Arabidopsis thaliana: one gene and its partners. The protein of the gene in region 4 purifies or fractionates together with the protein of the main gene of each other region. This does not show direct contact. Each region holds a gene or a part of one and is shown on either strand. Other genes may lie near its edges. The genes, in order: AT2G21390, AT4G08140, AT4G19006 and AT4G31490.

What was found.
Region 1: the proteins of AT4G31490 (region 4) and AT2G21390 fractionate together in Arabidopsis thaliana (co-fractionation; one large-scale study listed by BioGRID). This does not show direct contact.
Region 2: the proteins of AT4G31490 (region 4) and AT4G08140 fractionate together in Arabidopsis thaliana (co-fractionation; one large-scale study listed by BioGRID). This does not show direct contact.
Region 3: the proteins of AT4G31490 (region 4) and AT4G19006 fractionate together in Arabidopsis thaliana (co-fractionation; one large-scale study listed by BioGRID). This does not show direct contact.

What each region holds. Positions count from the first base shown.
Region 1 is NC_003071.7:9,149,306-9,158,660, reverse strand, and holds AT2G21390 (Coatomer, alpha subunit), read right to left. Parts: upstream 6,722-9,355; 5' UTR 6,452-6,721; intron 6,262-6,451; 5' UTR 6,234-6,261; coding exon 6,026-6,233; intron 5,621-6,025; coding exon 5,126-5,620; intron 5,038-5,125; coding exon 2,084-5,037; 3' UTR 1,755-2,083; downstream 1-1,754. Other genes in the region: SRS3 (SHI-related sequence3), read right to left, coding at 28-274; AT2G21385 (uncharacterized protein), read right to left, coding at 6,909-7,001, 7,152-7,273, 7,350-7,397, 7,486-7,588, 7,687-7,761, 7,898-8,014, 8,103-8,168, 8,261-8,359 and 3 more. UniProt on the Arabidopsis thaliana protein: The coatomer is a cytosolic protein complex that binds to dilysine motifs and reversibly associates with Golgi non-clathrin-coated vesicles, which further mediate biosynthetic protein transport from the ER, via the Golgi up to the trans Golgi network.
Region 2 is NC_003075.7:5,132,480-5,137,509, reverse strand, and holds AT4G08140 (26S proteasome non-ATPase regulatory subunit-like protein), read right to left. Parts: upstream 1,838-5,030; coding exon 1,785-1,837; intron 1,650-1,784; coding exon 1,529-1,649; intron 1,451-1,528; coding exon 1,370-1,450; downstream 1-1,369.
Region 3 is NC_003075.7:10,408,646-10,415,147, forward strand, and holds AT4G19006 (Proteasome component (PCI) domain protein), read right to left. Parts: upstream 2,823-6,502; 5' UTR 2,703-2,822; coding exon 2,553-2,702; intron 2,250-2,552; coding exon 1,803-2,249; intron 1,609-1,802; coding exon 1,528-1,608; intron 1,435-1,527; coding exon 1,238-1,434; intron 1,149-1,237; coding exon 704-1,148; 3' UTR 503-703; downstream 1-502. Other genes in the region: AT4G19010 (AMP-dependent synthetase and ligase family protein), read right to left, coding at 3,070-3,195, 3,284-3,386, 3,518-3,585, 3,663-3,808, 4,092-4,281, 4,509-5,576; CMT2 (chromomethylase 2), read left to right, coding at 5,881-6,444. UniProt on the Arabidopsis thaliana protein: Acts as a regulatory subunit of the 26S proteasome which is involved in the ATP-dependent degradation of ubiquitinated proteins.
Region 4 is NC_003075.7:15,264,487-15,273,730, reverse strand, and holds AT4G31490 (Coatomer, beta subunit), read right to left. Parts: upstream 5,286-9,244; 5' UTR 5,092-5,285; exon of another isoform or gene 4,516-5,091; intron 4,283-4,515; 5' UTR 4,272-4,282; coding exon 2,226-4,271; intron 2,008-2,225; coding exon 1,498-2,007; intron 1,403-1,497; coding exon 1,317-1,402; intron 1,243-1,316; coding exon 1,038-1,242; 3' UTR 1,037-1,037; intron 924-1,036; 3' UTR 501-923; downstream 1-500. Other genes in the region: CYP83B1 (cytochrome P450, family 83, subfamily B, polypeptide 1), read left to right, coding at 1-54; AT4G31480 (Coatomer, beta subunit), read right to left, coding at 6,347-6,551, 6,626-6,711, 6,804-7,313, 7,541-9,244. UniProt on the Arabidopsis thaliana protein: The coatomer is a cytosolic protein complex that binds to dilysine motifs and reversibly associates with Golgi non-clathrin-coated vesicles, which further mediate biosynthetic protein transport from the ER, via the Golgi up to the trans Golgi network.

The DNA of each region.
Region 1 (9,355 bases), on a different chromosome or scaffold from region 4:
AATTAAATAAGAGTAGGAGATAAGAACCTGATGAAGGACAAGAATTTGAAAGTTGTTGTTGCTCTCTCATACCTTTTGGGATACTAGTAGAGAGCGGTTGCGATTGGTGTTTGTGATGAGATCTTCTATAGGCAGGAACCCAAGTGCTCTTGATGTGAGTTTGGCAATGGAAGGCTTTGGATTTGCAGCAAGTTCTGCATCTCATGTACACACAATCTTTCTTCGCTTGATTCCCACAATCTTCACATTTTCTCCCCATTATCATCATCATCATTACCTCTGCCTTCCCATTATATACATGTGTATATATATATAAGCATGATATGTGTGAATATATAATTTAGTATAAATAATTGTTAGAAGATGTCGACCATTTTGGCTCTCTTTGTTTGCTTCCTCTTTATGTACAAAAAGAGAAAGAGAATAAGTCTTTTTTTATAGTTCTTTGCTTTTCCTTCTATGAATAACTGGAAAGTTATTGTTATTTTTTAAAGCTTTTTAATGAATTTGATTGGTAGCTACAGTTTAAGTGGTTCAAACAAAAATTACAATACTAAATGATGGTTCAATTACAATAATAAATAGTTAAATACCCTGAATATAACTAGAAATTTGTAGGGGTTTAGTAGTCTTTATGTGGTTTCAGGTGTGAAGTTTTTTGCATTCCCCAACTTAACCATTTTTAGATGCTTTCAGTGACAACTCTTGTAGTGATTAGTTTTATCGCAAAAGTTGTGTGGGGGTTGCTTATTCTTTTCTATTTTCGGGAAGTTTATGCGGTTTTTCTCCACTATACAACAACGGAATAATTTTATCCGGTTACATATAAAACTATATTATACTCATGTATATCTATCCCACAGATTTCTTATAATGATGATGAGTGGGGCTCTTATGGTTATATTTTCTATATGAATTATAAATGATCGATGCTTTGTACCATTGTCGGCCGTAATTTTATTCATATTCCTTGCAAATTGCTTGGTATAAATCAAGATTATTGTGTCAAATTTTTGTAACTCGATTACATAAAAATATCATATTTGCAGAATCATGCTCTCAATCCGTCCATATAAGCTACATCATCACACTATATCAGCCTCTATATATAGAAATAGTATGGAACACAAACCAAAAATCACCTTTAGGACAGGCACGCAGATAGCTATGGCTCTCAGTGAACAGATCAAGAAACATCGATTTGAAAGGTGGGAAGTTCTTAAACAGTTTAACTCTAATCAAGTGAATTTTTAGTCTTTAGTGTTTTGGACCAGATCACGAATGTTTAATGTTTTGGACGAGAACTTGAGATTCGTCGATTGATATGGATGGTGTTCATCATAGGATTCTGTTTATCCAGAAGTTGGAAAGCTTTTTAGAATGCAGTTTGACAGTGGACAAAACTCCATCATTCGTGTGCCGGAGGGGGTTCCATGACATGACTGGCATGACTATCAACGGTCATGTTTCGCTAGGAAGCGTTCATGTAGTTGCTTTGAGGATCCATGAAGCAGCTACATGATCTTGATAGTTTTGGAAGACAAATGTGTGGAAAATTCTCTCACACTCAAATTCAAGCGACCGGACAAATTAAAAAACAGAAAAGAAGTAAAGAGGCAGCTGTGATCGAGTCATTTCGAGAGTTTGTCCGTGAGCTTATCTACCAGTCTTAACGGTTCATCTAACTAACCACATTTATTGGATATTTCTAACTTTTTCGATAATTTTATAAGTATTTGGAATAGTAAATTAGGCATCAACTGAAAATTCACCAAAAGAAAATGGATACAATTCTGAAAATTTATAAAATATTACGTCTATATTTCTCAATCGAGTTTAAAATCCGATAAGCCTAAATGAAATGTCCTGAGACTGTAAAAATAAAATCAAACAAAAAGAGATAAAGCAAGAAGATAAAGTTCTCATGCGTTTGTTACTAAGATAAGAAACAACATAAAGACTTTAAAGAGTAATAGAAGTTGCAGCGGAAAATTCACAAACACCAAAAGCTCAACACTCTTCTTCCATAAAAGAGCATCTCGTACTTACCTCACGATTGAAGCACATAATCATTCTGACTTGTTCACCGGACTTGAGAGGCAGAGCATAGCAAGCCAGATGCGTCTGCGCCAATGACTGCAAGATCACAGACCGAGCAAATGTTACCTTCCTGGCTTGGTACAAACCGGGCAGTGCAGTAAGGACATGCAACGTCTTTCTGTCCTTTGTAGATTGGCACATAAGTGGACCCGCATATCACAAACGGGTTTCTAAAGTCGTAGTTGAGTGTTGTTGCATCTGTCATGTTGCGTTCAGCTGCTTGCATAACTTGTCTAGCCGTCCTGGCCTGGCTCTCAATAGTTGGGTTTGTATCCAACAAACTTCTGGCGAAGTGAGCAGCAGTAGCCATGTTCTTTGACTTGTAGCAGACGGTCATTGCACTGAAGTACGCGAGCCGTAGGTGAGGTGTTTGAAGTTTACAGTGAGTGAAGTAAGCAGCGAGCTCTTGCTGCCTCACCGGATCATCTTTCATCTCTCTCCTCTTGAGCTCCAATTGAAGACCGAGGACATATTCTTTAACAATGATGACCAGTTCCTTAACCTCATCTACTTCTCTTCTTGACTCAACTACCACCAATGGGATGGTTTGGAGAATAGAGAGGAAGACACGAAGAGCCTCAGATAGTTTCCCAGCTGTTGTAGCTTTGTAGCCGGATTTGAGCTTTGCTTCAAGCTGAGAGAAATCAAAAACAAGAGCTGGCGGGCCACGGACGTTAGGACTGGAAGACTCACTCCATCCACGCTCAATGGCAAGAGGAACCACAGGAGATGAAGAAAAGGCACGCAGATAGCTATGGCTCCCACTGAACAGATCAAGAAACATCGATTTCAAAGGCGCAAAGTTCTTAATGCCAAGCTGCCTGTGGAGCAAACGCATTGCAGTGTCGAAGCTTCCTGCTGCAGCCTGCTCAGCAGCAAGGGAAGATTTCTGACTCCAAATCTGACTTACGGGCATACCTTGAGGAGGTGTCACAAAAGTAGATGAACGTGCGTTAGCAGAGGCTTTAGGAGTGTCAAGCTCTGGTGGAAGATCCAAGTCAAGTCCCCATCCACCTTCCTCGTCGTCTTCTTCTTCACCTGCTTCTGCACCATCCAATATGGCTTCGATGTCTGTGTTCTCCATTCCATCAACATCGAATTTGTCAAGTCCCTCACCCCAGTCGCCTTCAACATCTTCTTCTTCTTCATCAACAGCCCCTCTGTTTGCACTCTCAAGTCCTCCTTCAAATATTCCTTTCATCACTCTCAGTAGAGGCCAATCACCACCACACATGATGGGAGACGGTGGCATTAAAAGCGATGGAGTCTTCCCTTCAGGCAATGAAGGCACATTGTCTCCTAGCTCAATTGCTAGTCGCTCAGCAATGTCAGTTAAACCATGAACCGAAGCTGTGATATAAGCTAGAGGCAAATGACCAGCATTCTCTAGTATCTTAACACGCTCTTTAACATCTCCTAGGTAGAGTGCATTGTGAAACTGACCCATTACATTGTTCTTCACCTCTGCAATCTTCATCAACTTTGACAGCTTGTCTAAATTGCCAGTAATGAGATATAGAAAAGATAACCTCTCAAAGTTCTTTGTCTGCTGGTACGCAAACTCAACAATTCTAGAATTTCCTTGACGAAGAGCTTCCACTCCGAGTCTATACCAGTGGTCTTTCTCATTAATCTCTGTAGCGGATGCAACAGCTACACTGATGTTGCCACTTTCAAGAGCCAAGTTGAATCGGATCCTCTCGTCTTCAACAAAGTGTAGGGCAACTTCAGGAAATCCTTTCTGCTGAAGATAAGCGATCATAGCCTGTCCACATAGCTGGGAGTTCTTTATCATGCTCATGACATGATCATATTTCTTTCTCAGTAGTGCAAGCTTGAAAATGTATTCGGTTGCATTAATGGTGATAGCCCTGTTTTTCCCATCCCGGTCCAAGCAAAAGATTGTATTTCCAGACACCTTGGTGATGTAGATTGGGACATCCAGGGTTCTGATGATTCCACTATCTCCATTAGGCAGACAGTACTTGATGTGGTTCAGAGTAGTGTAAATGAAGACACCATTGTCGTCCCATGCTCCACTTTTCACACGTATTGTCTCATGAAGCGTGCACTGTAGGACAAGTTTTTTGCTCGCAATAATGATAGTATGTTTGCTGAGCAAAGCAACACTCTCCATATCGTTAGACCAAACAACGTACCTAACAAACGGTGTCTGAAGCTCACCAAGAACAAGCCTTTGTTGAAGGTCAAATATAACCACTTTATCCTCAGATCTACAAAGCAAATTTCCAGTCCCAGCATAAAAGATAGCATCTGTGGGAATAGGTAAAGAACTCTTTTTAACCACCTCATTCTTTAGATTCTTCACTAACACCTGGCTGGTGCTTTTCTCCAGAACAGCAAACCGATTTCGAGCAATGAACACCGCAGAACCCCCTGTCCCCCTCTTTGCATCTTGTACAACATCACTCCTGCCAACGCTATCTTTCGGTATGATGTACAACTCGTAAGAACCACCATCCAGATCTGAGCAGATTAAGACTGCATTTTCTGTCGGACTGTAGGATAAAGTCCTCGGACTTTGATTCAAGCTTGGGGTACCAGGACGCCGTATAGGAATAACTTGGGAATCTTTTTGAGTTGAATATTCATAGTACCGCAGAAATCTATCTTTGGCATAGAATAACGAATCACCACTCAAAGCAAATGCAGGACGTTCTCTCTCAAGTTTGAAAACAATCATACCATTGTCATGTCCTGCTGCAAGTAGATTAATCTCAGGGTGAACTGCAAGAATCCAGAATCGGTCATGCTCACGACGAAAAGTTTGGATTCCAGTTCGCTTGGTAGCATCCCAGACACGGATGCTTTTATCCTCAGAGTTTGACACGATAATGTCCTGTTTTGCATGGAACATAACGGATGAAACGTTATTCATATGACCTCGCAATGTATCCACCTCCCAAGCTTTAGTTTCTGCAACAAAATTGAAACGCATCAGTACCTCAATGATTCATAAAATTAACTTTCTGTGAAGAAGAAGACAGATATCCATAAGAAATACCATTCATACGCCACAGCTTTACTTGGCGGTCATCGGCACCAGAGACAATGAGAGGAAGTGTGGGATGAAAAGAAGCCCAGTTGACTCCTCTATCATGACCTTCAAGGACGTACTTAACTATAGCGTCAACCCCTCCAAAAAGATCAGAATTCATCTGACTAAATCGCATGAGGTCATCAGCAGGAGATGCTGACTTCTTCTTAAGAGCACCAATGTCCCAAACACGGACAGTCTGATCCAGTGATGCTGATACAACAAGATCTTCCTTTGGATGGAAAGAAGCACACATAACATAATGATTGTGACCAGTCAACACGGAAATACAAGTCCTAGACTGCCAGTTCCAAATGCGGATAGTCTGATCGTCACTAGCACTCACAATCCATGGGTTTTCGTGGTGAAATTGGACAGTGCGGATATAATCAAGATGCCCGAGAAGAGTGAAAAGACACCTGTGAGTTTTGTAGTTCCAAACTTTAATCTTGTAATCATCCCCTGCAACATCCAATGTAATCAATGCCATCAACTACATATGAGTAATGTTCTGTAAGAGCATTATAACTGTAACGAAGAAGAATCCAAGCCATTTGCATTTCTAGTTGTTTGAGTACTTACTTATGTTCAAATAAAATACTATGCAACATGTACCATAAGATCTGGTTTCAATGCACTAGGTCCAAATCATCCAATATGTTATATAAGTAACTTAAACACAAATTATTTACTCCAGCTGGGACTATAAGAGCTTAAGTCATCCATTAAACAAAGGTTGGGAGACCAAGCTAGATCTAGGAACCGAGGAAGCTAACTAGCTAAGGGTTAATACTTAAGCAGATCAGGATTTATCGATCATGAAAGTGTAATAAACAGACTTATTGGCCTACCAATAACAAAGCATACCTCCAGAGACGAATAAAGGCTGTGAGTTGTGGAAATGAACACCACGAACAGGTCCTTCGTGCTCATCAAATCTGTCGATCAAAGTACCCATACGATAATCCCAGAGCTGGATCACACCACTGTGTAAACTCGCGAGAATCCATGGTCGTTTAGGGTGGAAACTCAGACCCTTAACTCGGTTACTCTTGGTCTCGAACTTGGTCAGCATATTCACAGATTACGAAACAGAAACAACTCTACAAAAACCAGATCAACAGAGAATGAAAATCATGGAGAAAGATCAGTTCAAAGAAATCGAAAAACCCGCAAAAGGAAGAAAAAAAACGTAATCCACGTGAAATTGAAAACAGATCTAACGATAAGAAGCAGCAAGATCCGAGAAATCGAGATTCGTACAATGAAGAAGGAGAAGAAATAGAGATTCACCTCAGATCAGATCAGTTCACAAGGGGAAGCGATCAAGCTCAGCTTCACGGTGACGATCAGTAGCATTACCAGAGAAGCGTGGATGCGAGAGCAAGAGAAACACAAGGATCGTCTAGAAGAAGAAGAAGAAGAAGAAGACGGTGAGATTCAGTTTCGTCGTATAGATCTGAATCCCTCCGCTCAGTTATCTCTGTCTCCAATTTGCGTCTCGCTAATTTAATTGGCATGAATTACTCATTTTTACTTTTATTTTATATGGAAGCATCAACTTTACATTTTTTATTCCAAGATAATTAAAATCTGTAAAATTTTGACTACAGAGCTTCATATTTTTAAATCAGATAACACTTCAAATGCTCAATCAAAAAATTATTACATGAGAGAAAACAATATATTAATTGGGGTTATTGAACTGATATTACACAAAAATGTATAGATAAATACATGATTTACGACATTAACCCTGGAGTAATTTCATAATTTCATTAGCCCTGGACTCGATTCCTTTGAGATACTCGGTCAAAATTCGCTGCTGGTATGAACCCCCTTCCTGGTATGATCAGAATAGTTGTGGTTAGAATGATGAATTTTAGAAAACAATATCTGGTTAAAACCCCAACCCAAAACCCGGTTAGCCTCGCATTCACTCCTGAAGAGAATAATAACAATGCAAGCAAATGTGTCATGGTATGTTACTTACAGTTCGAATCAGTGTGCGCTCGATTCGTTTCTTGATAACAGCAGATAGCTCATCAGGTGTGATATCTCCTTTTCCGATTGTTAACCCGTCTACGAAAAGCTTGTTCCATTGTTCCTCAGGAGCTGAAACACACATAATAAACCGATGTGAAGTCTGGCTGGGGTCTATAGTACATGGAAAAGTGGTTGCAGAACAGACCTTTGATCAGAGTTTCAAGAAAATGCTCGGCTTTTACAACTTCGTTCCCTGTGACAATAGCTATAGTGGATGAGATTATGTTCGTAGAAAATGGTTTAGAGTGACTTGGCATAGTTTTCAAAATTGGGCAAATCACCTTTCTTTGCGTAGCTACGCTTGGAGAGGATAGTAGCAGAATAGAGTTGAAGAACTTTTTGCAGCATAGCCAATAACCCTGGTTTGTCTTTATCTTCTTTTGCCTGAAAACAATCGTCAGCCTCAAACATTCAAAAGAATACATCTATTCACTGTAAAGGAAAGACCTCAGAAGTGAAACAAAACAAATTGTAGCACTTACCTGCCGGAGCTGAGCATTAACTTCTGAAAGAAATCCTTCATCTAATTGCCCTTCTTTTTCCCGTTGTATAATTTCCTGTTAATACACTGATCTCAGTAACCATGACGATATCAAATCACAGAATCTAAGACCAGATAACCCTTCTGAATATAGGTTGTATATATAAAAAATGTGTAGATGTAGTAGAAAGTGAAGAACAACTAGTATAAACCTTTTTCATTAGATTGATGGCTTCAGGATCTCTTGGCGGCCATGAAATCTCTTCCACTCCATCTATAGCAGGTCTTAAAATCCCTTTCAGAATATCAGTAGACGTCTCTATCTTTTCCTAAAGGGATATAATGAACTCTCAGTTATCCCTGTTTAAGTAAACGCTGAAGAAGAAGAGACAATAAAACCACAGAAGAAAGAGAAACCCGAGTCTTATTCACAACACAGTCAACTATAGTCATCACAGTTGTAGCTAACTCCTCATAGTCCTTCTGTAAGAAACAAACCGTATTCAAAGCATTAGCGGAAACAAAAGAGATCAAAAGTCTGCTCTATCATTGACATAAACAATATAAACTCATGCCTTGTCATCTTCTGATTTACAAGTATCCGACCTAGCTGCTAGTCTTATCCAAAAAACCTCATCAAAAGCAAGGATATTTTCAACAACAATCTTCTCAACCTGTTCAATGAAAATGGCAACAACAACAAAACAAAACTCAATTTACTCAAGATAATAGAGCAAAAACACAACATTTATACGATGCATATGACATGTTTCCTTACTTGTCTAGGGTTTGCATCTCTAAGAGCATCAATCATCCGATCGATTTCGACAGTCTTCTTAAAGGCATCTTCTGGATCTCCCTTGACTGCACAGATCAAAGTTCTCCTGTTTTATTAGACCCAAAAGATTGCAATCAATTATCTCATATCCAACTGCATTACACAGAATCATCGCTTCAAGGGCCAAATCCTACTGAAATCGTTAACTAGAACATAATCACCTTCGGTTCAAATGGAGTCCAGAGAACAGAGAAAGCTTCCATAGACTCGAAGATACTAAAACCCTAGAACCCAATCTCCAAAGCGACCCACTCTACTTGAAAAAAACGGAGGAATGAAGTCATAACAAGAAGAAGGTAGTTCTCGCTAATTATGAAGAAATAAGAACAGAGAGATTCACCTGCTCGCGTTGTTGATGATGATGATGAGAATTGCAAGAGAATAAGCATTGAACAGGGGATATTGCCGCCATTAAAGTGAAGGCACCGCACCGAGAAGCTACAAGCTCCGAATTTCTGAGGACCGTTCAAACAAACTCTCGGTAACCAAATCCTCGTTGGCGAAAACCGAAAAAAAAACAATATATGGTCGTATCATTTAGGCTCACTAGATCCATTGGGCCGTAACAACCACTCTGATCCAAAAATATTTACATGTGTTATTGGTGTATTAAATTCGGTATGTATTAAATTTCTTAAAAAAAAATAAGAATTTAGCATAGATATAACTAAGTAAAAATTATTATTAAAATTAAAAATTACAATATAAGTTAGAAGAGATCAAAGGTTTGTGTGGTTTGCAGTAATTCATCGATGATAATTGGTGTAGTTTGGTGTTCTTGTGTATCACTGTTGCATTCGTACACTATTCTCCATTGTACAACTGTATGTTT
Region 2 (5,030 bases), about 10 Mb from region 4:
TCTCTTCAATGCCAGCTGGAACACAGACACTTTCTTCTCTTTGTTGTTCTTTGCACTTTCTTCTCTTTGCTGTTCCTGTTGTAGGAAACTCACTTAACCAGTTCTGCTCATAGCGAACCGCACTCCAAGCATGTTCAAGGGTGAAATTGGCGCCATAGTCCTCGTAGAAAATCTGATGAGCCAAGTTCACCAAATCATCATCATTTTGGCCACTTGTTTGGTGTTTGGTTGCAGGCATAAAGCTTCCCACATACTTGTTCACACCCTCATTTATTTTTGCAAATTTCTGTTTACAGCATAATGTGCTTCTTTTTCAAAAACCTTTGAGCTTCTGACTTGTAGCAAAATAATCAGTTATGCGTTGCCAGAAGGTTCTAGACTTTTGCCCGTTGGAAACAACATGATCCTTGGACGTGTTCAGCCAGCTAGTTATCAGGACCAAATCTTCTATTAGAGACCATTTGCGTCTTGATTTCCTCTCTGCAATTGGCGCTTCATCTTTCTCTTGATCATCAAACCAATGTACTAAACACATGGACATCAGATGATCCAAGTTCTATGTTAGGTGGAAAACGTTCAAACTGAATTGGTGGAATGGTTTGATTCTCTTGAAAGATGATTAGGGAAAGATTTAAAGGAATCCATAACCTTGTTTGGTTTGGTTGTTAAAAAGATAAGAGAAAGATTTTTCAGCTTGAAGTTATGTGATTTAAACTGTGTTTTTCAGCTTGAAGTTATGTTGTTAAATAGATGCGGTTTTAGAAGCTTCAAGTTAGGGTAGGGTGTTAAGTTAAAGCTCTTTGATATTGATCACAGAGAGCAATAAATCACATAGAGCTTTTACTTACACTTAACCTACCAAGCATTCAATAAAATAGACCATAACTATGATAATACTTTTACCCAATGTAAACCACTCCAAAATACACTAGTTAACATGCATTTATCACAGTTAAAAAACAGTTAGCTTTTATTGCTTAGACCAATTCAGAGAAATTTTGAGCGCAATAACTAAGAGAGAGCTTTTAAAAGCTTCAAGTTAGTATTAGGTGTTAGAATTTTTTTTTTTTTTTTTTTTTTTTTGATCAAAGGTGTTAGAATTTTATTTAACCATAGAGAACAAATACTTTCTTCTAAGCATTTAAAATATTAATGTAATGCTATCTCAACTCAAAAATATATTGCATTTAAACAGAGAAACAAATAAACTAATCAAAAGCAGACAACAAATAATCAAAACCGGACATCAAATAATCAAAAGCAGACATCAACTAATCAAAAGCAGACATCAAATAATCACATATCAAAAGCAAAATCAACAAATCAAACTCAGACAACAACTACTAGATGAATTAAAGAAGGCTCAGTTCTACCTTCGTGTTATCAAGAAATAGTGCAATCTGTAGAGCGTGGTAAGGGCCAGGACAGACAGGATATCAGAAATGTACTTCTGCAAACATAGCAAATGTAATTTTTAAGCCATACCAATATAAGAATTGTTAATAACTTGAAATCAATGATGACATACCTTGAGATTAGAATCAGCCATTGTTTCATGAAACGCTTTAAGAGTTACATACTGGGGACGCAGAAACTTTAGTGGTTTGGGAACTGAAGTCATTGAACTTGTTAAAGCTCGGATTTCCTGCCTACAAAACCAAAAAAAAATTAAAAACTCCAACAAGGGTAGAACACAAGGAGCAGAAAAGAAAGAAAAACTTTATAAATTATGAGCTTCAAAGACAGTAATCTGAAAACCCGAAGCTAATCAAGTCAAGAATTACCTCATACTCTCAAGAGCAGCCTTCTGCAAGTCCGGATTAGGATCCTGAACCATCTCAACATAGAGCTTAAGGTTCTGCTTTAGTTCCAAATCCTCTTAAGACTACAATCACAACCCAATGTAAGTCGAGTCATTAGTCCTGTGAACATATATAAAAAAAAAAACTCTCCTCACAGCACAAGTTAGCAACTTTTTAATCCGGCTATACTAATGACGAACAAAACATTCACTTTGAACATGCTTATTGTTTTGTTTTTGTATATCTCCTTATGCTTTGTAAAACCACGTACAATACTGTAATTGATATGTTCTCGTAATAAGAAAAGAATACGAACCCACTTAGTCTTCATAATTAGATTCATCATATCGAATCAAAGATGAAAAGATTTATTACAAAAATAAACCAAATTAAAACCGATAAATAAGTTTTTTTCTACTATAGACACAACATTCCAATTGCCATGGTGATTGAACAACCATAGGAAAAAACGATTATCATCTTCATTTCTTCTCTCTTTGTTCTTTTCCATCCTCTCTTTGTTCATTTCCATCTTCATCATTCTAACTTCCTCTTTGTAACGCCCGTGAACCGGAAAATCAGTTAGAGTTTGTTTTTAAATCATCCGGTTTAATTGATTGGGTTAATTGGAAACCTTAGAGTATGCCTATAAAAGAAGTAAACTCGAAATTAGGGCTTTGGTTAGCCACTTTTCGTTTTATAAAGGAGAAAAAGAGAGAAAAGGAGAACGAGCAGAATCGTTAGGGTTTGGGAGAAATCAGTTTCGTCATATCAAATCGTGGTAAAAGGTAACGAAATTTGGCAGAGTTATTCCCAAGTCCTTTATCGTTATTCTCCAATTTACAGAATTGGATTTGGATTCAAATTGGTTGAGTTATTCGCAGTTTCGTGAGACACGTTTTCTCAGACGCGAATTAGGACCAGCGGAGATTGAAACTGAGATCGTGGTCTCGTCTGTTTTCCGATCGGCACGAGATTTTGTGGTCAGCTTTGTGACGTCTGCAGCTAGGATTTCACCGGAGAGATTGAATAGTTAACGGTTAGTTTGTATTTGAGGGTTTCGTCTTTGAGACTGCTTGTTTCTGGTTTTTCCTGTCCAGTTTGCTTCAAGGTTGCTTTTGGTTGTGGACTTTTTGTAGGACGTTTCTGGACTGTTTCAGACGCAAGGAGAGTCTCTCCTGGGTTTAATTGCTATTAGAATCAATTTGTTAAGGTGAGTGCGTGACCATGAGCTTATCTGAGCGATAGGGTTGTGTGATTTGTTTTGTGTGATGATATGTAGGTGTGGTGAATGTGTTTTGGATGAATTGTTCAATGACTGGTTTGTTTGTATTGTATTCGTGATTATACCTTTTTATTTGCTTGTGTGTATAGCTCGTAGATGGGAGGATCGCCTCACTAAGTATTTATGATAATACTTACGCATCTCATTGTGTTGTTGATACAGGTAAAGATAAAGTGTGATCGTGGAATCATGGCAAGGAAGAGAGGATGATCTAGGAACTCGTTTGTTTTATTTTTGGTGTTTTTGGTTATTGGAACCCGGTTAGGATTGTTAGTTATTCTTGGTTTTGTTGGTCGAATTATTTATTTATTCATTAAATAGTATTTTTGACTTGTGGTTTAATTGTTATTCTATTGGTTGGTTTAATTAGATATTTATGGAAATATTTAATTATTTTTTTTAAAAAAAATGGGTCGGGTTGTTTCAATTTGGTATCAGAGCGATTACGGTTCTAAGATGTGTAGAAAAATTAATTGATGAATTATTTTCCTGTTGATTGATGTGGGATGAGCTAGGGTGTTAGCATATTGAGGATTGATTATGGAGTGTTTAGTCAATTGTGTGTTGTTGGAGTTCTAGCATCATCTTCTCCAAGCCTTAAATGAGATTCCACGGTAAGTTGTTTGTGATATATTCGTTTGTTTTAGTTTCTTAGCCATTTGTTTTTGAGTAGCGCAGATGGTTAGAGGAGCTGGAGTTCGTGGTCGTGGTCGCGGTCGTGGTCGCGGTAGGGGACGAGTCCTCGAGGGTACCGGCGAGAGTGATGGCCACAGTGCCACAGTTGAGCAGAGTGGGTTCGCAACCTGAGTTTGTGGAGCCCGGGGTTAGGAACGGTCTTGGTGCCGATATAGCTGGTGCAACCGGAGTGGGGGCTGGTGGTGTCGGTACCGGTGTGCATGCCGTTGGTGCTGAGGGCCCAGGAGTGATGTGTGCCGCAGCCGGAGGAGCCCAGGTTCCAAAGGTTGGTTTGGCGGGCCTTGTGAGGCAGTTGTTGGAGCGGTTACCAGGTTTGGTACCAGTGGAGGCTCCAGTTGCGCCACGAGCGGCGGAGGTGCAGCAGCGGGCTGCGGTTGCTGAGAAGGTTCCATCTTATTTGGGGATGATGGAGCAGTTGCAGAGGATTGGCACCGGTTATTTTTCTGGTGGTACTAGTCCTGAGGAGGCCGACAATTGGAGGTCGCGGGTTGAGCGGAACTTCGGTTCAAGCAGATGCTCGGCGGAGTATCGGGTAGATCTAGCAGTGCATTTTCTAGAGGGGGATGCACATTTGTGGTGGCGGAGTGTGACTGCCAGGAGGAGGCAGGCGGATATGTCTTGGGCAGATTTCGTGGCTTAGTTTAATGCCAAGTACTTTCCGCAGGAGGCGCTCGACCGTATGGAGGCGCATTTTCTTGAGCTGATACAGGGTGAAGGAGGACCTTCAGAGGTAGGAGGGGGGAGTGAGTCCAGCGGTACAACCGAAGAAGACTCAGCAGCAGGTGGCACCTAGCAAGGGCAGCAAGCCTGCGCAGGGGCAGAAGAGGAAGTGGGATCATCCTTCCAGAGCTGGACAGGGTGGTCGTGCAGGATGTTTTTCTTGTGGGAGCCTTGACCACAAGGTGGTGGATTGCACGCAGCGAGCTGAGACGAGGGAGTGCTACCACTGCAGGGAGAGGGGACATCTCATGCCGAATTGTCCTAAGGTGCAGCGGATGGCAGTGGCAGTGGTACAGCCGGCGGTGCAGCACGGAGCGCAGGTGCAGCAGGGAGTGCAGCAGTTGGCACATATTGCAGCGGCACCGCAGGGTTACACTATGCGTGAGATAGGCGGTACTAGCAACAGAGCGATTACTGGTATGATTTCTGAGACTCAGACTTTGTGAAATATTTCTGTTGTTTTGGATATCATTATTTTGTGATGAATGTTAGGGTTCTTAGCACATGAGGTTTGTGTAGGGACCTTA
Region 3 (6,502 bases), 4.9 Mb from region 4:
CTAATTCGAATTAACGCAAAGAGATTCCCAAAATAGCTCTAACCGATTCAATTTTCGATTTTGAAGCATTATTGAGAAATCGAATCACCAAAACCCCAACATTAGAAATCTAAAACCCAGAAACAACAATCAAAATCTATTGTTCCCAGAGAAGAAAGCTATGTTTTTGTAGAAGAAATCAGATCTGGATTATGTCAATCCAACAGCATCTACCGATGATCCCTAAAATCTATTCCCCAGAAGACAAAACATTTAGAGAGCGAGCAGCTTACGAAGCAGACAGATGAGCTGGAGTCTTTGAGACTTGACTGCTCTGTTTCAAAATCTCAAAATCGGAAAATTTTGATTGAAACGAAACGATGGTGATAATTGGGGTTTAATATGTTTTGACTATTTTACCCTTACACTTTTCATTTCAGAAGTTGACAATTTGGATTCATTCCACTATTTGAGATTTATGAGTTTTTCACACGTCTAATAACAAAAGTTGGACCATTTGTTATGCAAATAGGCTTAAGCCTTAAAGGCAACACTAACGATGAAACTCAACTTAATAGGATAGATTCATGTGTCTGTGGAGAACAAAGTTCAAAAGTATAACTGTAATACCTAAAAACTTAAAAGGAAGTTGCATTTAATCCTCAGAGAATGTTACAATCTGTAGCTTAAACGAACAGTGAAGGAAAAAAGAGGAAAGAAGAGTTTAAGCTGCAACAAGATCAGGTGTCTCGGCCTCAACAGATAACAATGTGGTGTGAACCTTATCGACCCAGCTGTCTAGCTGATCCCTCAATGACTTGATCTGCGGTATTCCTAACACCCTCGGTTGCGCCCATGAGACGTAAACTGTTCCATTCACCTGATCTAGTATTCCCTCTATCAAGTGCACCTGCAATAACTCATTCTCCTCAGTTTTCACAATCAACCAATACAGAATCACACATTCAAGAAGATTTCGAGTCTGCGTCTTGCCAATCTTCTTTAGATTTTTAATGTTACTGATAGAATGAGATAGAGAGAAAGAGAGAGGAAAGAAAAAGGTACTCACCGATAAGCTCTTCATGAGAAGGTGCTCAACATCTTCGATTGAAAGTTTAGTACGCTCGGCAATGACACTCAAAGGTATGGTCCTATCTTCAGCAGGTCGGCTGTGGCAAAGATGTTATATACAAGTTAAGTACTAAGTTTGTTTTCATCTGTATATGGGTATAAGATGACTCCTACAGAGAATGAATACCTGAAAATGATCTCAATAAGGCAGAGAATGTTGATCTTCTCTAATAGTTTCTTCTCATTCTCAACCAGTGCTGGTTGAGCACTCAACGATGCATTGTGCACACGACAGAGTTCTTGGTACTGAACTAAATCTCCGTGGTTGAATGCTTGTAGAATGTGGTAAAGCCATTCCACATTTGTTCCAAGCAGACTTTTCAACTGCCATAACATATATAACATGTCAGTGTTCTTTTATCTATAATGGTGAATAAATCTGTGGTTTGCTAATTTGGAGGATGAAGGGAAACTTACAATTGGATGGGCTAACAGTTCCCCAAAGTTATAGATATTCTCCCCAAGTAGAGCTGAAAGCGACAAATCAAAAGCCAAATCCTGAAAGAAACGAAAGTATATGATATTAACATTTTGATTGGAACACAAAGCAATTTACAGAGATAAAGCATTTTTCACTGTAAGTTTCCTTTCATAGAGTGCTAATACTTATCCAAAATTGCTAAAAGACCATTTGGTAACGTAACGACTACATATATCATATATGAATGATTAGAACATTCAGAGGGACGTACCAGCTTAAATGATTCCGAGAGTGAGTCCACAGACGTATAAGCGAGGTAAAGAAGAGCATTTTTATAGAACTCAGAGAACTCTTGACGGACTTTATGGTACTGAGAAGAGACCCAAAAGAAGTTGGCATAAACTGATGGATCAATGTCAGTCATACTATCAAGCAGGCTTTTTCCATCGTCCAAGATTTTCTTGCACTCCTTCTGGTCACCTTGCTCAAGCTTGAACAAAGCTATTTGTGTTTCTATATAGCTAATTGGTTCATTTATCCTTGACTCTTTAGTAGCTTTAAGCTTCTCAATCACTCCTTCAAGATAACTAACTGCAGCTTCTTTCTCAGGATACTGTCGGGAGACTACAACAGCGAAATGCGCAAGCTTCAGAAGATTGATCCTCGTCTCAAAGTCAGTGATGAAATTGTTGTAAAGCTGTATTAAAGCATCTCCAGCCTGCAAAGATTATGAACATAAACAGGGGGAAACACGTCATTAACAAATCTGTAAACCTTGTAAAGCTGAGTTTTTGGGTATCTCTGAGCTAAAATATTCGAAAGCTTTGGTCACAGAAGTGCGATAATTCACCAATACAAAGCTTTTCAATGAATCTGAAAAATCACCTAAGAGTCGGAACGAATCCTTCAGATCTCTCTATAAACCCAAGTCTAACATGACGACTCCTATTAACTTTCTCGAGATCTATGAACCCTAATCACACAGAAGAACTACGAAACGATGAAAATTCAAGAGATTGACCTGAAAGACAGAGAGAGCGATGAACTGCTCGAGCTTAAGAGTGAGCTGATGCCAGAGCTTCTTCTGGTACAGATCTGCGAGCGAATTGTACCACTCACCAAGCTCTGGGTGCGCATTTTTCTGCGATTCAAGGTATTGTAGAGCAGCCATGGTAGATTTTCGAAGAAACAGAAGGCAAAGCTTCGATCTTGTATCGGTTTGGGAGTAAGAAATCCAGAAAAACCCAGCCTTTTAGTAAACTATATTTCTTGAGCTCAAAGACAAGTATTGGGCGATAAATGCAATAGCCAACGATTAAAAGGACTTTTATGTAAATAAAATACTAAGGCTAAAATTACATTTTGGGCTCAGAAAGAATTTTTGTTTCCGTATTGGGTTACAATGCTTTATTCACTGAGAATCAAAGAATGTGTCTGTTTATTTCTTTTGATGCTACAAAACCAATGAATTGAGTTATGAAGGCTATATTAGTGGATCTCTCTGTCTGCTACTTATTACCAAACAAATGAAGAAAGAATCATAGTCTTGAAGAAACAGAGTTTGTAAGAATTCTCTTTAGTTCCTTTCTCAATATCTTCCCAGTTGGAGATTTTGGTATAGAGTTGACCATCACCACTTTCCTCACCTTCCTGTAGGGTGCAACCTAGAACACGTAATGTATAATAATGTATTACATTAATGATCAGTGTTTTGAAATGGGAAAAGCCATTTTGAATTAGTGGGAACCTAACCTGAGAAGCTACATAGCTTATTACATCTTCTTCTGAAAGTGTTGTTTCTTGTCTCCGGACAACGAATGCTACCGGAATCTCTCCACATTCTTCATTTGGGGCACTGAAATGGAAAGTTTGGATACTTTCAGTAGAGTAACAGACTCTGTCGAATTCTCCAAAACTGGATTTGCAGTATCTTTCACTTATTAAACTAGTTTAGTAAATGATCAAGATTTGTTTTTTCGAACTTACGCTGTTACTGCAGCGTCGATAATCAAGGGATGTGAAACAAGAACAGCCTCCAAATCTGCTGGAGCGATCTGCAAAAACCATAAATGCAAAGAATTAATATTTCCTAATTTAGAGTTGGCTGAAAGAGAAACTGCTGTTCCTTTACCTGAAAGCCTTTGTACTTTATAATCTCCTTAATACGGTCAACAATAAACAAGTAACCATCTTCATCAAAATAAGCAATATCCCCAGTACGTAGCCAACTATCTTCAACTATACTCATCTGAGTTGCTTTTGGGTTATTCAAGTATCCTGACAGACAAATGAACGGTGTTCAGATTCTCTCCAAGTAAAATTAAAACTGTTCCATAAAAATATGTAGCACAAAATCAAGAACAAGATAATAAGCCTAATCTATCAACACAAGCACCAAATAAGCCCCACGAAAGTTGGAAGATCCAATCTATATTTACATTTATTAGGATGCAAGTGTTTCTCAGTGATTTGAACCATTGACAAAAGACTTTATTCATGAACTGAGAAGGAAAATCTCAACTATTTTGGTAAAGAAGTACAGTAGGAAGAATCTATCTACCTTTCATGACACCGGGACCTTGTATCCAGAGCTCTCCTCGGTTTCCTGGTGGAAGGAAAGAACCAGAGCTCCAATCTACTACCTTGGCTTGCATATTAGGAGCCAGTAGTCCCACAGAAGAATACCTACTAAGCTTTTCCGAGTTGAAGCCCCGTGTTCCAACTGCAGTTGATTCAGTCATTCCATATCCCTGCAACAAAATGTGATCCATTTTATACACACTTTCAGCTAAATGTAAAGAAAATAATAGTGTGAGTCAAAAAGTCATGGCCTCGTTAAATCAATTTTAGTTGTTTCTTTTGGGAAGAGATGTCAAATTTTTCTAAAAAATGTAGATTCTACTTCTTATTGAGTTTATGAATGAATAACATTTAATTCAGTTTTCTAAAACGACATCCAAAAGTAAAATTCAGAGACCTGAATCAAATCGACATGAGGAAGAGTCTGAAGGAAATCTTCAATGAACTTCCTACTCAAAGGAGCTGCTCCAGAAGAAACTTGCTTCAAACTTTTAAACACTTCACCACAAACTCCTTTTGCCTTCTTTGTCAATGCCATCAACATAGGTGGAACAACCGGGAAATGAGTGATCTTAAACCTTTCAATTACATTAACAACATCAGAAGCATCAAACCTCTTCATAACAACAATAGTTGATCCCAGAGACAACAATCCCATCACAAAGAGTGATAACCCGTAGATATGGCACAAAGGCAAAGCTGCTAGATAAACATTACTCGATCCCGGATATTCGTACTGAGAAGCTTCAAACCTCACAAAAAGCTCCATTGATGCTATCAAATTCCTATGAGTTAACAAAACTCCTTTACTAGCTCCAGTTGTTCCAGATGAATACATAATTGCAGCTACATCGTCTTGCTTAATCAACGGTTTTGGTACAAACCCAAAACTTTCTTTCATAATGGAGTAAAACTTCGGGTTTTCGATACGAATCGAATCAAAATCGTAACTTTCAGATACACTAATCACACTAACCCCCAAAGAACTCAGCTTCTCAACGTTTTCAGTAGAAGTAAAAGCTAATCCAACACTACACTCACTAACTTGCTTCTTAATCTCTCCTAAACTACTCGAAGGATTCATGGTAGTAACAATAGCACCAAGCGAGATCAAAGAGAGGAAAATCATCGGAAAATAGACGGAATTAGGCAAGACGAGTGATACAACGTCACCTTGACGAACACCTAAAACGTGATAGATCCCAGCCGCCATTGATTGAACCATAATCTGTAGCTCAGTGTGAGATATTGAGAACCCGGTTAAGGAATCGATGAGCGCTGTATCGCCGTGGTGTTTGTGTGAGAAAAGAGCGGAGACGGCGTCGAGATTTGGGTCGACGGGGAGGTGTAGGGAAGGGAATTTGCTGGTGTAGATTCCTGTTTTAGAAGAGAACCAAAAGGGAGGGTTTTGGTGAGACGTTTGGGTTTTAGGATTTGGCGGTATGTGAAGATGTGTCGCCGCCATTAGAGAGAAGCAGAGTTTAAGATTCTGCAGCGATCAATATTTACTTCTGATCGGGAAATAAACCAACGACGGAATAGTTTAGTAAAATAATTAATTTAGTTGTAACACTATTATTATGTACTAATTGCAATTAATTGATTTCGAAGAACAGAGAGTGCAAGAAGATCACGTGTGACACGTGACAGTCTGTTAGCAAAAAAAGTACAATAGTCAAAAAATACACACTCACTTGATTTCTTCCCTTTTTCAGTTTTGTTTCCCTATTGGCTACTTTGGATCCCTTTTAGATTCTTTATATTCTCTGATGTTATCGCCGGCCAAATGTGAGTCAGAAGAGGCTCAAGCTCCATTGGATCTCCATTCTTCTTCTAGATCTGAACCGGAATGTCTCTCTCTTGTCCTCTGGTGTCCCAATCCTGAAGAAGCTGCTCCGTCCTCTACTAGAGAACTCATAAAGCTCCCCGACAACGGAGAGATGAGTTTGAGGAGATCCACGACGCTTAATTGTAATTCGCCTGAAGAGAACGGAGGAGAAGGGAGAGTTTCGCAGAGGAAGTCATCTCGTGGTAAGTCACAGCCGCTGCTTATGTTGACGAACGGTTGTCAGCTTCGGAGGTCGCCGAGATTTAGGGCCCTGCATGCAAATTTCGACAATGTATGCTCGGTTCCGGTTACCAAAGGGGGAGTTTCGCAGAGGAAGTTCTCTCGTGGTAAGTCACAGCCGCTGCTTACTTTGACGAACGGTTGTCAGCTTCGGAGGTCGCCGAGATTTAGGGCGGTGGATGGAAATTTTGACAGTGTATGCTCGGTTCCGGTGACTGGAAAGTTTGGGTCGAGGAAGAGAAAGAGTAATAGTGCTCTCGATAAGGTTACTCGCCAATTTTTTTGTTTGTTCTTGTTAGTAGCCACGCAATGCAATGCAGCTT
Region 4 (9,244 bases):
CTCGCTATGCACAAGAAAGAACACCTCGTTCTTGCACCAACGAAACACATCTGATGCTATATATATCATTAGGACGTTTCTGCTGGTAGATATGGCGTGACCAATGGTTATTTTTCATTGCAATATCCCTTTTTGTTTTAATGAGTACTATGTTCTCATTTTAACGAATAAAAATGTATCAGTGCTCTTGTTTTTGGACTAGAAAAGAAAGTAGTCCGATGTTTAATATTCGGGTCCCTTTAATATTCCCTCTGGTTTACAATATTTTAAGCTATCTTAGTAAACATCTATAATGTGAATATATGACTAGAAAACAAAAACATGTCGCTAACAAACAATAATATGAATTTATGACGAAGAAACCAACATGTTGCTAAAAACAATAATATGAATACATGAGGAAGTTTCGTTGACAATGATAAGTAGTGGAAGACTTGACTTTGGATAGCATCTTGCCAATATGTTGTCCTACGTCACATACGAAAGAAAAGTAGGAAAAGAAAAACTTTTGTTCTGCGAAAAGAGAGAACCACGAAAGGCAAGAAAAAAAAAAACAGAAGTAGAGATCGTATATGAAATGACGAGTCTAAAATGGAACAAACCCATGTAACTTTGAAATCTACTATTGATAACGCGTTCAACAGTTCAGTCTCCTCGATAAACAAGATTATAGAAGAAAAAGTATTACAAATAAAACAAAATCGTCTAGTACTGTAAAAAGACAGCCGGTTGAGGAAGAATCCATCGGTACCATACCGGAAAATATACCGGCTTAGGAAGAATAATAACAAATTACTCTTTACATATCCTTTAAACGACTCTTCTCTCCATGTAGTAAACAGAATCAACCAACGAAAAATTGCTCAAGAGAGAAACGTAGCCTAAACCTTTTACCTTTTACCTTGCACGCTATCATTCCAAGCCTGTGAGAAATCATCGTTATGGTAATGAAAATTAGACCAATTAAAAGTTTAAGGATTCAAACATTTATGGATTGCATTGAGAGATAGAAAATGTTTCCAAAAGATTAGCTAACCTCAGCTACCACCCTTTTGTTTGAGGGTGATTTTGTCTCCAAGACTTAGAGCAATCCCTTGCGTCTTGCTCCTTATCCTTATGTAACCACTCAATGTTCCATCCGTTTGCTTCTCAATACTCAAATTCACAAGAGCATCCTCACCAAACACACTTTTTGCATATAAGTTTGCTGCAAGGAATCCACATTCACCTGCTATTGCAGATCTGCAAGTAAAGAAGTATTAATTAGTAAGACGAGTTTTTCGTTTCTACAGGATGAAAGAAGAATTTACACTTACGGAGCAGTGAGACATTTCATGTTTGTGGATTTGATAATGTGGTCGAGGAATTCTCTTTCGTTTTGAATTGTGGTGTTCACAGCAACCTGACATGAATAATACAACAGGCAATGGTTATACCAAAATCTAACAAACAAACAAACAAAGAAGGTAATACTTTTAAAAGGTTTCGGTAAATTACCTTGTTTTCCCATTCAAACTCTGCCCACATAGTTCTGAAAGCAACCTCTGAGCACACAGCAGGGGAGATATAGTCCATGATATCAATGTGTATGTCGTTAAGAACCACAACATTGCGCTCCATTACATTTGATGTCTCATAGACGATGTTCCCGAATATGACTCCTGTCTCTGTGGACGAGACCTTGATGTTTGCTTTAATCTGCATGCTTCTTTCAGGTGCCAGACTATAGTTCTGAGGACGCTCAACAAGTTTGAGATCACCCATGGTTGCTAACTCCAAGCACAAGTTCTGAAGGGTTTCCTTGGTTCGGTTGATTACTGTAACTTCAAGAGCAATATCATAATGGTGTACCGTTACATATGCTTCAGCATAGACTGGGTCACTGAATCCTGTGAGTTGAAGAATGCGGTTAAGTTTGTTAGCATCGTTCTCGTCCTTGGTGAATTCTCCAGTTGCACGCTTTAGGTCATCTTGTACCTGGTCTTCCAACTCAAGTTGACTCATTCCCTGAAAGAAATTTATCATCAGTAAGCTCATCTACAGACCAAAAGAAATAAACATAACATGCCATTATATACTTTTGCCATCTTTCTTTAAAAATGGAGAAAAAATCGGATATGAACTGTAAGAGAAAGCAGATAAAAACTAAACAGAGTGCGAAGGAAAATCATAAGGAAAAGAACACACAATAAAGCGAGGGAAAGCTTAGAAAATAATAATATTACCTTCCGACTCTTTAGATGGAAGAAGTCAATTAGATCATCCGGTTGAGCATGAGTTGTTTGGGTCTTTGCCTTCAGTTCCTCCATCTCTCTAAGCTGTTTTTCAGAAATCATCTTGACAAAACTCTGGCGGCAGGATTCCAACCATATCTTTTTCATCTCAACATTCCTATGGCAAAGCAATTTTATGCACAACATAATCCGCTCATACGAATCATTATCAATAGGGTGTGGAGAAACAGGAGATTGCCCAAGTTGCAAAATAGAAACCATGATTAGCAAAGCCTGTGATACTGTCTTGTTTACTTCAGTTTTGGAAGACTGAACCTCTTCCAACCTAAGAACAAGTTTGGTCAACGTGCAAGCAACCACAGCTCCGAGGAAAAAATCACCAGTTAGAAGGAGTGCCCTCAAATTTCCAGAAGTCAGTGATCCTTGAACAACTGTAGGCGAGGAGAATGTGGTTTCAGAGGCTGCGCTTTGTGTAGCATAAGTTCCATCAGCAAGAATAACTGGCTTTCTAGAGGACACCATGGCAGAAGAGGTAGGCTGAATCTTCTTTGATGTCTCAGTTGGCTCAGACTCCTCAGAAACAGAGTAAAATGGTAATTCGCCAAGGCATTGTGTAATAGTTGAAATGCCACTCTCAACTTCTGAAAGTGATAGGCAATACTCACCAATGATCCAAAGTGCACAAGGGCAGACCTTTCCTGCACGGATCTGATAGAACGTGTCCAACAACCTGGTGATGATTGAAACTCTCAACTTGGGATTTGTTTCTATTATCTCTCTAACGAAAACAACCACGTCAAGAGCTGAAGCCACGTTGCTATCTCCCAGGAAATCCATCAGAAGATGGACCACTGTGCTTGCAACTTCGGGGAACTTAACTGCACAAGCATGGATGGCTTGAATAAGCATTTGCCTGTACTCTCCATTCTTCTCAAGTTCTCCACTCTGTGTCTTCACAACTTCTTTCTTCAACATTTGAACGACTTCATTAATATTATGATGGGTAATCAAGTCAAGGGCAATGTCAAGTGTCTTCCTGCGGATATCAAGGTTTGGGCTTGAGAGTGCTCTGAGCACATCGATTATCAGCTCAACCATGATATCTCTGTGCAATGTCTTAAGCTCATACAACCGATCGAGCAAGATAAGCTTCACATTGTTGTCACTCTGAGAAAGAAGAAGTTGGCAGTAGGTGTTGGCAGCAGCTCGAATAGCAGTAGGGGCAGATGAGAGAGAAACAAGTGTCCCAGCACATTCATAGATAACTGCAGAAGAAGTAGCACTTAACAGAGAAATAATAATTTTAATATATTTTCCCTTCTCCGCTGGTTTAGTCTTACACACACTTCGAATCAGCTCCAGCACCACCATCTGAAGTGATTCATTCCAGTCTGAAACCTTGTCAACATTGCTCAGAAGATAATTCACTGCACGTTCTTCGGCACAGGTAAAGAGCATTAGAAATGCATTTCTCTTGGCAGAAGGATCTTGTTCTGTTGATAGAACTTTCTCGATCATTTCAGGTGCATCCACGAAGAGTTGGTCGCCATGTGGAAGTTTATATATCGACATGATTGCCAGAATTGCATTCCTGCGAACAAATGGATGGCGATGCTCCAGATTTTGTAACACTGATGGAGTCAAAGGTTCCACTATTTCAGTCTCCTTCATCCGACAGAGAAACCTCAGTGTCACTCCACGGATGTACTCATTCGGATGCTGAAGGTTATTACGAAGATTCTGGCATATCAAAATCATTTCAGGCAACACCTTCCCCTTCGAATCTGTCTTTTCAATCAGCTCCAGGTACAGCAACAGAAGCTTTTGGATGGTGTGGTCTTCAGAAGGCAGCACATATCTTATAATGGTAATGAAAAGCTGAGGAATGGTTTCACCATTCAGCAAAAGCATAATTGCCTTCTTCATGGCATCAACTTTAGCTTCAACATCATTTCCTTCGAGAGCTTCTTTAATCTCATTAGCAACTGCTGGAGTCCCTTTGTCATAGTGAACAAGCATGGTACTAGATTTGTCCATCTTTTCAGGTGCTGCACAAAGAGTGAAAAATAAAATAAAATTGTGAGCTCATATGAAAAGGAAAAATCATGCAAGAACAAGTGTACCTATGTTAACATAAGAAATTCAAAGCGAATAGAGAATAGGAACCTAAAATACTGAAAATCGATTTAAAGATAAAATGAAGTAGTATAGATCACAGGTAACAATCAATATATCCAAAATTTTAAGAATTTTCTTTTAATTACTAAGTTAGTATAAGCACCTTACTAGTATCTTCATCACTGCTCGAGTAAGTTCTAAACAAGAAGTTTCAGAGTATCCCCATAATACTACTCAGCAATAATAATCTACACCTCTCTACATATATTTCAGTACAATGAAGAAAGCATCTATGTTCTCAAATCCACGGTATATGAGAAAGCATCATAATCGCTGAAGAATATTCGGTAATGTCTAATCAACGACCCAAAGATGCAAGACATTGACAAATTCAAATCCTCAGATCCAGCAATACACATCACTTTTACTACAACTACGACCAAAACATTAACATAAAATCGAATAATAAAAAAGCTTCGGATCAACCAAAGTTCATATCACAAATGCAATATATCTCCCCAGATTTGATGAACAAACAATGGAATCTACATAGTTCGCAGTCTCACTCAGCTGCACAAACATGAAAATCGTTTGCCTACCGGGATCGGATCAATATTCAACGAGATCAAGCAAAGAACGCCAGAGAATATTGAACATTGTAGATTTTCACAAAGGAAAAGCAAAAGTGGGATCGATCTCTACGAAATCTGAGTCGCAAGTTTAACAGATAGAGACGAACCTCAAGGTAGGAGATCCACGGAGTAACAAAGCTTTGGATCCGTTAGAAGATTTTGGATCTCGGAAAAAAAAACACTCGCACAAAGTGAGAGATTATGAAATGTCCTTAATATTATCGTGGATTCGTCTTCCCTTGTGTTTACTCCTCCAAATCCGATTTTGTTTTTTAGTTTTTTTTCCTTCTGTTTGGAAAACGAAGAACGGAAAGAAGCGAGTCAACCTCGCAGGCCCAAATATTGATTGTTGACAAGCCCAGTCCAATAGAAGTTGAGAAAGCATAGCCCCTACTTTTTTATTGTTTCCAAAACGACCCCAAACTTTTAAAAGTGAGCGTAATTAGGAATTATGTCAGTTTTTCCTTGAAACGTGCTCCAACTTTCGGTTAGAGATGGATGATTTTATGATAGAAGATGATGTATTTGGATCTTTCCTCTTCTACTCGCGTCTAGTATTTTCTTGTCTAATGATGTTAGCGATATCTAGTTACGCGAATGTGTATGTGATCGTCCCTTGGTACCTTGAGGCAAGTGATTTAAGATTATTAAATTTTGCTTAAAAATTATTGCTTGGTTTTCTTGAGAATAGAAAAGGCTGTAAGAATCAAATGTTATGGGTTTGGTTGTGAAGCAATTGGTTTCTTTGGCTTGTAGATTTTGAATATGGTCCATATTAATACATGCGTTTCATTACAACTTACTTGCTAACATAACCCGTATTATATAGCTACTAGCAAATTAAAGTCTAGCTTTGACAATTGAATAGTTCACTTCAAATGCATATGAAAGAAAAGAATAGAGATCAAATCTGAAATGACGAGTTCTAAAATGGAGCAAACCAAATGTAGCTTTGAAATCTACAATATCATAAAGTTCACGGTTTAAAGTCCTCAACAAACGACATTATAGAAGAAAAAGCATTACAAATAAAACAAAATCGTCTAGTACAGTAAAAAACACACTGCCATATGAGATGAAGAAATCCATCGGTACCATACCAGAAAATATACCGGTTAAGTAAGAACGATAGCCAATTACTCTTTTTACATATACCCTTGAACGCCTCCTCCCTCCATATAATAAGCAGATTCAACCAACGATAATTGCTCAAGAGAAACGTACGTAGTCTAAACCTGTTACCTTTGCACGCCACTGTGAGAAATCATCGGTATGGTACTGAAATTTAGACCAATTGCGGTTTAAGGATTAAAACATGTATTAATCGAGAAATAGAATATGTTTTGAAAAGATTAGCTAACCTCAGCTACTACCCTTTTGTTTGAGGGTGATTTTGTCCCCAAGACTTAGGGCAATCCCTTGCGTCTTGCTCCTTATCCTTATGTAACCACTCAATGCTCCATCCGTTTGCTTCTCAATACTCACATTCACAAGAGCATCCTCACCAAATACACTTTTTGCGTATAAGTTTGCTGCAAGGAATCCACATTCGCCTTCTATTGCGGATCTGCAAGTAAAGAAGTATTAATTAGTAAGAAGAGTTTTTCGTTTCTACAGGATGAAAGAAGAATTTACACTTACGGAGCAGTGAGACATTTCATGTTTGTAGATTTGATAATGTGGTCGAGGAATTCTCTTTCGTTTTGTATTGTGGTGTTCACAGCAACCTGACATAAAGAATACAACAGGAATTGGTTATACCAAACTCCAACAAACATACGAAAAGAAGGTACAACTATAAAAGGTTTCAATAAATTACCTTGTTTTCCCATTCGAACTCTGCCCACATAGTTCTGAAAGCAACCTCTGAACACACAGCAGGGGAGATATAGTCCATGATATCAATGTGTATGTCATTAAGAACAACGACGTTTCGCTCCATTACATTTGATGTCTCATAGACGATGTTCCCGAATATGACTCCCGTCTCTGTGGACGACACCTTGATGTTTGCTTTAATCTGCATGCTTCTTTCAGGTGCCAGACTGTAGTTCTGAGGACGCTCAACAAGTTTGAGATCACCCATGGTTGCTAACTCCAAGCACAAGTTCTGAAGGGTTTCCTTGGTTCGGTTGATTACTGTAACTTCAAGAGCAATATCATAATGGTGTACCGTCACATATGCTTCAGCATAGACTGGGTCACTGAATCCTGTGAGTTGAAGAATGCGGTTAAGTTTGTTAGCATCGTTCTCGTCCTTGGTGAATTCTCCAGTTGCACGCTTTAGGTCATCTTGTACTTGGTCTTCCAACTCAAGTTGACTCATTCCCTGAAAGAAACTTATCGTCAGTAATTTCAACTACTGACCGAAATAAATAAACATAACATGCCACTATCAACTTTCGAACTTTCTTTGAGAATGCGAAAAAAAAAATTGGATATGAACTGTAAGAAAAAGTAGACACCAACGTAACAGAACTGAACAGATTGAAAAGGAAAACTCATATGGAAAAAAAAACCCAATAAAGCAAAGGGAAGCTTAGGAAGTAATAATACCTTCCGACTCTTTAGATGGAAGAAGTCAATTAGATCATCAGGTTGAGCATGCGTTGTTTGGGTCTTCGCCTTCAGTTCCTCCATCTCTCTAAGCTGTTTTTCAGAAATCATCTTGACAAAACTCTGGCGGCAGGATTCTAACCATATCTTTTTCATCTCATCATTCCTATGGCAAAGCAATTTTATGCACAACACAATCCTCTCATACGAATCATTATCAATAGGGTGTGGAGAAACAGGAGATTGCCCAAGTTGCAACATAGAAACCATGATCAACAAAGCCTGTGTGACTGTCTTATTTACTTCAGTTTTAGAAGACTGAACCTCTTCTAACCTAAGAACAAGTTTGGTCAACGTGCAAGCAACCACTGCTCCGAGGAAAAAATCACCAGTTAGTAGCAGTGCTCTCAAATTTCCAGAAGTCAGTGATCCTTGAACAACTGTAGGTGAGGAGAATGTGGTTTCAGAGGCTGCGCTTTGGGTAGCATAAGTTCCATCAGCAAGAATCACTGGCTTTCTAGAGGACACCATGGCAGAAGAGGTAGGCTGAATCTTCTTTGATGTCTCAGTTGGCTCAGACTCCTCAGAAACAGAGTAAAATGGTAATTCGCCAAGGCATTGCGTGATAGTTGAAATGCCACTCTCAACTTCCGAAAGTGATAGGCAATACTCCCCAATTATCCAAAGGGCACAAGGGCAGACCTTTCCTGCTCGGATCTGATAGAACGTGTCCAATAACCTTGTGATGATTGAAACTCTTAACTTGGGATTTGTTTCTATTATCTCTCTAACAAAAACAACCACGTCAAGAGCTGAAGCCACATTGCTATCTCCCAAGAAGTCCATCAGAAGGTGGACCACTGTGCTTGCAACTTCGGGGAACTTCACTGCACAAGCGTGGATGGCTTGAATAAGCATTTGTCTGTACTCCCCATTCTTCTCAAGTTCTCCACTCTGTGTCTTCACAACTTCTTTCTTCAACATTTGAACGACCTCATTGATATTATGATGGGTAATCAAGTCAAGGGAAATGTCAAGCGTCTTCCTGCGGATATCAAGGTTTGGGCTTGAGAGTGCTCTGAGCACATCTATTATCAACTCAACCATGATATCTCTGTGCAATGTCTTAAGCTCATACAACCGATCGAGTAAAATAAGCTTCACATTGTTGTCACTCTGAGAAAGAAGAAGTTGGCAGTAGGTGTTGGCAGCAGCCCGAATCGCAGTAGGGGCAGATGAGAGAGAAACAAGTGTCCCAGCACATTCATAGATAACTGCAGAAGAAGTAGCACTTAACAGAGAAATAATAATCTTAATATATTTCCCCTTCTCTGCTGGTTTAGTCTTACACACACTTCGAATCAACTCCAGCACCACCATCTGAAGTGATTCATTCCAGTCTGAAACCTTGTCAACATTGCTCAGAAGATAATTCACTGCACGTTCTTCAGCACAGGTAAAGAGCATTAGAAATGCATTTCTCTTGGCAGAAGGATCTTGTTCGGTTGATAGAACTTTCTCGATCATTTCAGGCGCATCCACAAAGAGTTGGTCGCCTTGTGGAAGCTTATATATCGACATGATGGCCAGAATGGCATTCCTGCGAACAAATGGATGGCGATGCTCCAGATTTTGTAACACTGATGGAGTTAAAGGCTCCACAATTTCAGTCTCCTTCATCCGGCAGAGAAACCTCAGTGTCAC